3 linked regions of the Xenopus tropicalis genome follow. The protein of the gene in region 1 purifies or fractionates together with the protein of each later gene. This does not show direct contact. Links are inferred from orthologs where the notes say so. Each region holds a gene or a part of one and is shown on either strand. Other genes may lie near its edges.

Evidence for each region. The genes of interacting proteins can lie anywhere in the genome.
Region 2: the proteins of mta2 (region 1) and znf512b purify together in Homo sapiens (affinity purification with mass spectrometry; 3 studies listed by BioGRID and IntAct, with this or other methods). This does not show direct contact. The link is inferred for Xenopus tropicalis from reciprocal best matches to the Homo sapiens genes MTA2 and ZNF512B.
Region 3: the proteins of mta2 (region 1) and dnmt1 purify together in Homo sapiens (affinity purification with western blotting; 3 studies listed by BioGRID and IntAct, with this or other methods). This does not show direct contact. The link is inferred for Xenopus tropicalis from reciprocal best matches to the Homo sapiens genes MTA2 and DNMT1.

What each region holds. Positions count from the first base shown.
Region 1 is NC_030680.2:36,837,941-36,841,592, forward strand, and holds part of mta2 (metastasis-associated protein MTA2), read right to left. Parts: intron 3,211-3,652; coding exon 3,111-3,210; intron 2,930-3,110; coding exon 2,741-2,929; intron 2,348-2,740; coding exon 2,273-2,347; intron 2,193-2,272; coding exon 2,134-2,192; intron 2,003-2,133; coding exon 1,905-2,002; intron 450-1,904; coding exon 310-449; intron 237-309; coding exon 8-236; intron 1-7. UniProt on the Homo sapiens protein: May function as a transcriptional coregulator. Acts as a component of the histone deacetylase NuRD complex which participates in the remodeling of chromatin.
Region 2 is NC_030686.2:1,311,747-1,315,398, forward strand, and holds part of znf512b (zinc finger protein 512B), read right to left. Parts: intron 3,286-3,652; coding exon 3,214-3,285; intron 3,142-3,213; coding exon 3,019-3,141; intron 743-3,018; coding exon 627-742; intron 1-626. UniProt on the Homo sapiens protein: Involved in transcriptional regulation by repressing gene expression. Associates with the nucleosome remodeling and histone deacetylase (NuRD) complex, which promotes transcriptional repression by histone deacetylation and nucleosome remodeling.
Region 3 is NC_030679.2:137,105,537-137,109,025, forward strand, and holds the end of dnmt1 (DNA (cytosine-5)-methyltransferase 1), read right to left. Parts: intron 2,781-3,489; coding exon 2,603-2,780; intron 2,397-2,602; coding exon 2,201-2,396; intron 2,098-2,200; coding exon 1,934-2,097; intron 1,333-1,933; coding exon 1,216-1,332; intron 1,115-1,215; coding exon 1,024-1,114; intron 906-1,023; coding exon 871-905; 3' UTR 574-870; downstream 1-573. UniProt on the Homo sapiens protein: Methylates CpG residues. Preferentially methylates hemimethylated DNA. Associates with DNA replication sites in S phase maintaining the methylation pattern in the newly synthesized strand, that is essential for epigenetic inheritance.

The sequences.
Region 1 (3,652 bases):
TACTCACATTCTGCTTTAATTGAGTTTGAGTTGATTGGGGCATAAGGCCGGCGTGCAGCTCTCCTTGGCTGAAGGATGTCTCTACACATACGCCGTGCAATGCGAGTCAGCTTGGTAGTCTGCAGCAGAAAGGTCTGACGGTTTTTCGCCAGCAGTTTAGCACGGTTAGCGCTGGTAGTGTATGGGGACAAACTCTGAGCCTCTGGACGAGAAAGATGGCCCCTGGAATGTGGTTCCTGGAAATAAATAAAGTAGCTAAACTACAAAGGGTAGGAAGGAGCTGATAAAAGGAAAATTGAGTGCACTTACTCCTATGTTCCGTGCTGCTCCCTCCAATTGTGTTGGGGTTTTAAGACCACCATATTTCTTCCAATAGATCCAGCAGGAAGCACAGAGTCGACACTGCATATTGGGGGGACCCCAAGCATACCACTGAGCAGAGACTGTGGCTGAAGGAGGAAAGATGTATGGGAAAAAATAAAACATTAAAGGACTGGATGTGGTAGAAAGCACTAAACTATTGGGCACGCTAAGCATTTGTTAAATAGCAATATTACCCTTCATTCATTGAACCTTTATAGGCAACTACATCATTGTAGCAAGGTCTCTGAAGGTCACTAAAGAAGGCTTTAGCCAAATTACAGCAAATGAAAAGGCTAGTAGGCTCCTTGAAGCTTGTGTTCTGTCTTAATGTTACCCTTCGAGCCTTAGTCCCCAATCAGACATTTATAATAATAAAAAGCCAGTTAAGCTCCTCTACGGCAAAATACCTAGTATGATGAAATATTACAGTACAGATATTCCTTGTTCCAACCAGTTCAGCCTACTTAGAATGGACTTAGGGTGGTACAACAGATATTATTGCTGGAGGGGATTCTGAGAAAGTTGCTTTCACTGATGCACTGCATTTAATGTACATATATCACGTTGCTGTTTCTTACTGTACAAGAGCTGATCAGCGGTAGCAAAGCATGTTATAGAGAAGCATGAGGGCAAAGGTAGAGTGACATTCCAGATTATCGATAGACCCAGGGCAAATGCTAGGGGAGGATATATAGATAAAAGACTCTCGGAGCGTGAGGTCTATTGGATTTATCGCTTAAGGACAACGGAACAATACGGGGGTCTTAATAGAGAATGGGAATTATCCTGCTACTGCTGACATTAAGCAATGTTTTACCATGTAAATGTTTTATTGTGTAATATAAATTAATTTCCACTGTTGGAACCCTTGTACGCTTGGGTTGTATGTGGACACAAGGGTTTGATGGTTGCCTATGTGACTTTGAGACTACTTATGTAGGGTACATTTTACAGTACATGAGGTTAAAATTATATTAGGTTAATAGGATTAGTATTGTTTTGATATTAATATGGAGTATTTACAAAGTATATTTCATGTTATTTTGGACTCTCTCCTATATGGTTTAATCATTTATGTGGTTATAAGGGGGGTAGCGATTCCCATTTGAACTGTATTTCTTATGGGTCCTCATCCATGTTTTTATATATATGCCTTTATACACACTATTCCTTCCACTTACGGGTTAATGGTTAAAGGGTGGAGGGGGTGTGTCGAGTCTATTTAAACTTTGGGAGGGGGGGTCACTGGTTGGGCTTCTGATGAAGTGGTGTTTTGACCACGAAACGTGTTAAGCCATGAGGTGAGGATGCTCTGCTCTGTTTTTTAACTGATGGAAATAAATATGTGGTTTTATATATGAGTTATCCTGTGCTCCGCTTCTTCATTGATTTGCTTTGTACAAGAGCTGATGACACAGATAATATCAATGACCATTAACAAGCAAAACAGAACTTTACTGAATTCATTAATCCTCTCACCCTGCTAATTGTGTAAATGAGCCATGCCAAAATACTGGCATGCTAATGTTTCGATAACTTACTATGACAGCTCTCACAGGTCAGACCCTTCTGGAATCCAGCTCCGTTAAGACCTGGCTTAGAGCCCACAGAAATTATTTGATTGGGGTTGGGTTTCGTACTGGGAGAAGCAAGAAAAAAATTGATTAAGGCTTAATATCCATATTCATTATTTAATGGCAACATTATATAAACAAAAAAAGTGAGTTCATATCCGTATAAAGTATATGAATGACAAAGCTAAGGACTCACTAGGTGGGGATGTACACTTGTTTCAGTTTGCTGTCAGCCTCAGCTGCCTTCAGGCGTTTCTGCAGGAAGATGTGGCAATTAATGGAATGCTGAAAATGCTTATTTTGCCCATTGAGATCAGCTGGCCATAGAACATTACCTGCTGGATGTATCGGTCTGTAGTTTTCCACATGTAATAGAACTGAACGATACTAGCAAGAGATTTCCAAGGGAGCTGGAAAGAGACAGGTGGTGGTTAAAAAACAGATGTATTGTCTCCAAAATTAGTATTTGCCTTGCATTACACTATTCTTAAAATTGAGCAGCCAAGATGCAATTTCCTGCTTTAACCAAATTTTTACAAAAAACTTGCCAGCAGCAGCCAGCCGCTTTCCCCTCCTGCTGGTTGCTTTCCCAGGAAAGCCATTGGCTCTCTGCACTGCAGAAATGCACCACTGCCTACACAATGAGAGAAATCTTCAAAAGTGTAATATGTTCCTTTTAAGAGATGCTTGCCAGTGTCCATATTATTTTCCAATATACTAAAACAAGGCAGACACATCCAATATCAAGGCTACTATGTTATCACTGCCCAATCCTAGAACTTGTAACAAAGAACCGGACTCACAAAGTCTTGCCGGATGTCATTGAAGTCCTTGCCATATTTCTCCAGTGCTTCCTCAAAAAGCATAGCCTCCGATGCTGACCATTCTTCCATCTCATCCCTGCAAAGTACTGGCCCCCCCTGAGGTACCAGTGTTGACATTGCACGGGCAAGGTCATACCCATTCCTCTGTAGTGTATCCATGGCATGAAACTAAAGATAAATATGTATTAGCTGGTTGAAAACTACTGATTATTTACATATTTACATTGAATTAAATTCTTAGAAATGCCATGTACACTATTTAAAATATATCTCAAACTATTTGCTGCATCTTATGGTTATAAAGGCAAGCACCTATAAAGGGAATGCAGAAACACAAACTGTAACTTACCAGTGTGATGTCACGAGATGCTGCTGCAGCACTCATGTGTAAACTCGGCTGTCTGATTGAACTGCTGCAATCTAAAGCTCTTGCAAAGGTTCCAACAGCCCTGCAGTGTTAAAAAATGTTGTAACTTTAATAGTTTAACAGGAAATACATTTGTAGCCAATAAGATATTTTGTCCATATAAAATTTAAATGGCTGCCAGGCATGCCCCCTTCTTCTGCACGCAACCACATGCTTTAGATCTGGGTACGTATTAATCTTCAGCTGGTGAAGAAGCCCAGAATGTTCATCAGTGTCACTAGATCACCCTTTGGAGTACTTATTATTTAGATTTTAAATATAATGAAATATTTATTCTTTAAAATATGATGTTGTTTGCTGTTACTGTAATGCAAAAGGGCATTTTCCATGACAGTAAAAAAAACTTTACATGGTGGACCTTGACATGATAACTTCCCCAAAAGTTGGTGCCCCTTCCCTGATACTCATAGCCAAGAGACAGACAGGATATAGAATTGCTGTAAATGACCTCCAAGAGAAAATTC
Region 2 (3,652 bases), on another chromosome or scaffold:
ACACACACCCTTTATGTGGCGGTACACACACCCCCTTACTGGGCGGTACACACACCCCCTTACTGGGCGGGACACCCCCCCTTACTGGGCGGTACACACACCCCCTTACTGGGCGGTACACACACCCCCTTACTGGGCGGTACACACACACCCTTACTGGGCGGTACACACAACACCTTACTGGGCGGAACACACACCCGCTTACTGGGCGGGACACCCCCCCTTACTGGGCGGAACACCCCCCCTTATTGGGCGAAACCCCCCTTTATGGGCGGGACACCCCCCCTTACTGGGCGGAACAACACCCCCTTACTGGGGGCGGAACACACACCCCCTTACTGGCGGGACACCCCCCTTACTGGGCGGTACACACACCCCCTTACTGGGCGGTACACACACACCCTTACTGGGCGGTACACACACACCCTTACTGGGCGGTACACACACACCCTTACTGGGCGGAACACACACCCCCTTACTGGGCGGAGACACCCCCCCTTACTGGGCGGAACACCCCCCTTATTGGGCGGAACACCCCCCCTTACTGGGCGGGACACCCCCCCCTTACTGGGCGGAACACACCCCCCTTACTGGGGGCGGAACACACCCCCGTACCCCAGTCTCACCTGCTCACACACCTCCATGTGCTTTCTCAGGCCGGTCATGGTTTTGCGAGTGACGGACTTGCAGTTGGGGCACAGAACCTCCCCCCTCTGGCGCTGGCACCGCCCCTCCGCACTGTCTGATGGGCACAGAGGGGTGTCACATGGGCTCCCCCATAATAAACCTGGCACCCCCACATTGGGCCCCCATAATAAACCTGACACCCCCACATGGGCCCCCATAAATAAACCTGATACCCACTGGGCCCCCCATAATAAACCTGATCCCCCCACATGGGCCCCCATAATAAACCTGACACCCCCACATGGGCCCCCATAATAAACCTGACACCCCCACATGGCGCCCCATAATAAACCTGACACCCCCACATGGGCCCGCCATAATAAACCTGAACCCCCCCATGGGCCCCCCCATAATAAACCTGACACCCCCACATGGCCCATAATAAACCTGATACCCCCACATGGGCTCCCCCCATAATAAACCTGACACCCCCACATGGGCCAACATAATAAACCTGGCACCCCCACATGGGCCCCATAATAAACCTGGCACCCCCACATGGGCCCCCATAATAAACCTGATACCCCCACATGGGCTCCCCATAATAAACCTGATACCCCCACATGGGCTCAGCCCCATAATAAACCTGGAACCCCCACATGGGCTCCCCCATAATAAACCTGGAACCCCACATGGGGCTCCCATAATAAACCTGACACCCCCACATGGGCTCCGCATAATAAACCTGGCACCCCCACATGGGCTCCCCATAATAAATCTGACACCCCCACATGGGCTCCCCATAATAAACCTGATACCCCCACATGGGCTCCCCATAATAAACCTGATACCCCCACATGGGCCCCCCATAATAAACCTGATACCCCCACATGGGCTCCCCATAATAAACCTGACACCCCCACATGGGCCCCCCATATAAACCTGATACCCCCACATGGGCCCATAATAAACCTGGCTACCCCACATGGGCCCCCCATAATAAACCTGACACCCCCACATGGGCTCCCCCAATAATAAACCTGACACCCCCACATGGGCCCCCCATAATAAACCTGATACCCCCACATGTGCTCCCATATACCTGATACCCCACATGGGCTCCCCATAATAAACCTGACTACCCACTGGGCTCCCCATAATAAACCTGATACCCCCACATGGGCCCATAATAAACTGCTTACCCACATGGGCTCCCCATAATAAACCTGATACCCCCACATGGGTCCCATAATAAACCTGATACCCCCACATGGGCCCCATAATAAACCTGATACCCCCACATGGGCTCCCCATAATAAACCTGATACCCCACATGGGCCCTCCATAATAAAACCTGATACCACATGGGCTCCCCATAATAAACCTGATACCCCCACATGGGCTCCCCATAATAAACCTGATACCCCCACATGGGCCCCCCATAATAACCTGATACCCCCACATGGGCCCATAATAAACCTGATACCCCCACATGGCCTCCATAATAAACCTGACTACCCCACATGGGCCCCCATAATAAACCTGACACCCCCACATGGGCCCCCCATAATAAACCTGACACCCCCACATGGGCCCCCCATAATAAACCTAATACCCCCACATGGGCTCCCCCATAATAAACCTGACACCCCCACATGGGCCCTCCATAATAAACCTGATACCCCCACATGGGCCCCCCATAATAAACCTGATACCCCCACATGGGCTCCCCATAAATAACCTGACACCCCCACATGGCCCCATAATAAACCTGAACCCCCACATGGGCCCCCATAATAAACCTGACACCCCCACAGCCCCCCATAATAAACCTATACCCCCACATGGGCTCCCCCATAATAAACCTGACACCCCCACATGGGCCCTCCATAATAAACCTGATACCCCACATGGGCCCCCATAATAAACCTAATACCCCCATGGGCTCCCCCATAATAAACCTGACCCCACATGGCCCCCCATAATAAACCTAATACCCCCACATGGGCTCCCCCATAATAAACCTGACACCCCCACATGGGCCCTCCATAATAAACTGATACCACATGGGCCCCCCATAATAAACCTAATACCCCACATGGGCTCCCCCATAATAAACCTGACACCCCCACATGGGCCCCATAATAAACCTGATCCCCACATGGCCATAATAAACCTAATACTCCTCCCCCACATGGGCTCCCCATAATAAACCTGACACCCCCACCATGGGCCCCCTATAATAAACCTGATACCCCCACATGGGCCCCCCATAATAAACCTGACACCCCCACATGGGCCCCCCATAATAAACCTGACACCCCCACATGGGCCCCCCATAATAAACCTGGCACCCCCACATGGGCCCCCCCGGGCTCAGACCCTGTATACCTGGAGGGGGCGGGGCCGTTTGCTCCTGATTGGCCTTTGCACAGTCAGTCCTTCTCCGTGGCTCGTCCAATGGCGGCTTTGCGCCCCTCCGGCGCCTCCCCCTTTCCTCGGCTTTGGCCAGACCTTACGGGGGGAAAGGCTCAGGGTGAGACAGTGTTTGGGCCCCGGGGGGGCCGGGGGGGCAGGTGGACTCACCTTTCAGGCCGAAGGTGCCGCTGAGGGAGGGCTGTTCCCCCGTGAACTTCCTGGGAGTTTTCTGTTTCCTTCCTGACTCAAAAGACAGAAAAATAAACAGAAGTCACAGAGAGGGGCGGAGCCTGCAGTATGCGCCATATACCCACAGGCCGGGGGTTACGCGCCATATACCCACAGGCCGGGGGTTACGCGCCATATACCCACAGGCCGGGGGTTACGCGCCATATACCCACAGGCCGGGGGTTACGCGCCATATACCCACAGGCCGGGGTTACGCGCCACATACAAACAGGACCCTCCCACCGATGCACAGGACCCTCCCACAGACGCAGAGGACCCTCCTACCGACGCACAGGACCCTCCCACAGACGCAGAGGACCCTCCCACAGACTCACAGGACCCTCCTACCGACGCACAGGACCCTCCCACAGACGCAGAG
Region 3 (3,489 bases), on another chromosome or scaffold:
TTTTCATACTATTAAATGCACAGTTCAATCAGTTTCTTAGCAATCCCAAATGAATCCATATAATATCTGTGCTGGAAGTTTCTTTTGAAAGGATTCTGTCATCAGATGAATATAAGGATGAGATATTGTCTTAGACCATAAGAATCATTAAGCCTGAAGATCAGGGCTGCGGAGCCAGTTGTGAAGTCGGAAGCAGCTTTGGGTATCTGGAGTCAGAGTTGCCGGTACCATAAAAGAACAGAGAACTCAGTCAAAGGGTTTATGTACTAACTCCACAGCCCTTCTGTCTTCCTGCTCTTTGGATTTTGGTGTGGCAGATCATAGAGCCCTGTGGGTATGGCTTGGCTCTGCTTTGCTAACACAGCATCAGTTGTGATTGAAAACAAAAAGGATAGAATGCAGGTATTCAGCTGTATTTTGGTACCTAAAGTACAACAAAGCCTTTCATTGTCCAATCCATAGCCCCTTGTACCTTTACTTAGGTTTGGCTAATGGCTGCTGTGGGTTCTTGGGAGGCTGACAATATACTTTCTAACCTATGGCAATATGAGGCTGTACAGTATACAAGCAACATCATGTACAAGAGACATTTTATTTCAAATATTACAACATATAAAAACTACATAATAGCACGTATACAAAGTGGAGAGGTAAGACGCCGACGTACAACGTATAATAAAACCCACTGTTCTTTAAAATCTTTAGAAGTGCTGTCGCGCAGCTCATCTGATTCAGCAGATAAAAATTAAGAGCTGGAAATGTCAAATTTGATAAACCAGAAGAGAAGTGTCAGATTTAATATCTGCTCTTCAGTTTGAAACTCCGGAGGGAAATTCAGTGTAAGCTGCCCCCCCCCCCCCCAAAAAAAAGTTAATCGGTCTCCATCTTTTCAGCCTTCACGGTTTCTGGACAAAAAAAAGAAAAAAGTTATTAGGTGCCAGAGGTTGAAGAGGTACAATTATAGGCTGATAGATAAGATGCAGGATACACAAGGGGATACATGTTTTAAGGGCAGACACCCACCTGTTCCATTCTCTTTCTCCCTTGACAAAACGCATTTCTTTATCTCTGAACCAATGGCTTTCGAAAGAGGCGGCGGCACGGCATTACCCACCTACAAAACATTTCAACGTTACGGACTGGAAGTAGGGTAGAAATATATTCATCAGTTCAGCATTTGTCATAGAACTTCTCTCTGCTGTCACCAATACTCACCTGCCTGTGTTTATCCAAGATATTACCGAACAGTCTGTAGGTGTCGGGAAATCCTTGGGACCGCGCACATTCCCTCACACTCACCACACGATGTTGCTCTGGGTGAAGGACGCGACCCTAGGAGGAAACATTCTGTAATGTGCTGCATTTGTGGCCTTGTAATATTTAGCAAGACTATGAGACTTTAAAGAGCCCCCCCCCCCATACACCTTATTCATTCAGGTTTATTCAGTACACGGGAGAAGCAAAGTTAAAAACCAAGAAAGCGTTATCAGAAAGGTCTATGTAAACACAGCCATAAGCACTCACAGAAACGCTGCACTGAGTCCTCTATCAAAAGAAACCGGTTTTCTAGTCTTTGTAAACACGTTCAGTATTAGACTTCCTCTCAGAAAAATCCTTCATTCCAGGGGCCAGTGTCTGCGCAGCCTTCTGCCTTCACTCCCATCAGGTGTGATCTATGCTACCAACGGCTAGAGCTGCAGCAGGAAGCTACTGAGACCAAGCTAAAATGGCAGCTGCCATCTTAAACGGAGGGAGCTTCTAGGGCTGTTTACTAAGGTATGGTAAAGCTTTCTGCAGAATATATATTTCCTTCTGACTTTCCTTCTCCGTTAAGATGCCTGTAACCGACTGTCCCTAGGACAATGGCTTCCCCTCTGTTTCTAAGCCACACTACCTCTTAGATACTTAGTGTATTTTAGAACCTGTAACTCACCTGTTTGCCCATTGGCTCAGGGTTAGTAACAGTGGTGCTAAAGAAGCCGTCCCACTCAAGTCTTCCATACAAGCCAGCCCAGTGATTGTGTCTGTTTCCTGTGTGGGGCAGGCACCAGGGAATCAGCGTGTTGAACTGCCGGTCTGCAGGGTCACATGGTTTGCCTGAAAATAAAACATTTCAACAAGGCATGTTCTGACCATGGTAATTGGCTACACAGATTCTATTACCCCAGCAGCCCTTTATTAAGCAGGAGAAAGTGTATACCTTCAGAACAAGAGCAGACTCCTCTTAAAGCACCAGTGCTGCTGCGCCCATTTTTCTTGTCATGGTGACTATAGCGTAACTTTCTGGTTGTAGTGCCATCTGACAGACGCACTTCCATGTTAGGTAGATCCCGCCAGTCTGAGCCAGGAGCAAGAGGTATGTGACGCATTCTGGCAGCAACTAAAGCGCTCATGTCCTGCAGAGGCCAGATGACAATATATATAAGGCCATAAAACCACCAGTAGCCACTAGGTTACAGTCAACATTACCTATAGGTTGATCACTAGGACCATGTATAAAGGCATTGTCAAACTATCAACTTACATGGTAAAACACGGAATTTCTATGGCATTACAATCTATAAAAATGCCTTTCGTGTTAACATTAGCTTTACTGACTTACCTTGCAGACATGATCCCTGAGAATTGGCTGATACTGCGAGCCACGAATCTGCCTTTGGAACCAGGACTGAGGCTCTCCATTGTAAGAAATTTCCAGAGCAGAGGCTCCATTGCGGATTTCTGGAAGGTCAGACATGGTATCCCGGACAGTGATTGTTCGGAAAAGGCTCGAGTTAGTTCTGCAAAAGAACATTTAGGAGGGGGTATAAAAGTAACATTGTTGCTACTGTATACCAGCAATTTTAATGAGGACTTTATTTCTATTTATTCTCAATGCGCCGTCTATCAGTCGTGGTAAGAAAAAATGGACTGCTTTATTGGCACTATGTTGAGGGGGAATATGGTGCTATAACATGCACATTTTACATATTGTATTTTAAAGTCTTGTATGGTTACACTGTATAAATGTTCTAATACGAGTCACCAGTAGATGGCACCATGGGGTAAGATTATAAGTTAATTGTTCATATTCAGTAGCTTAAGGAAAAGGCTTAAGTGGCCTAAAATGTTATTGCCGTTTACTGAAATCCTGTTGTAGTAATAGTGAAAATGCCCATTGAGATGAACCAACTGTGTACTGAACTAAACTGCATTCTGGCGAGTGCTGTCTGAGATCTATATAAGCTGCAGCGTTTGAAATAAGATGCTCTGTGTAAGGCAATGGTTCTCCACCTTCCTAATGCAGTGACCCTTTAATACAGTTCATGTTGTGGTGACCCCCAACCATAGTTATTCCTAAGACCATCGGAAATATGTGTTTTCCGATGGTCTTAGGCGATCTCTGTGAAAGGGTTGTTAGACCCCCAAAGGGGTCCCGACCCACAGGTTGTGAACCGCTGGTGTAAGCAGATCCTTATCTGTGGACTGGTAGTTTCTTTCACCAACTTA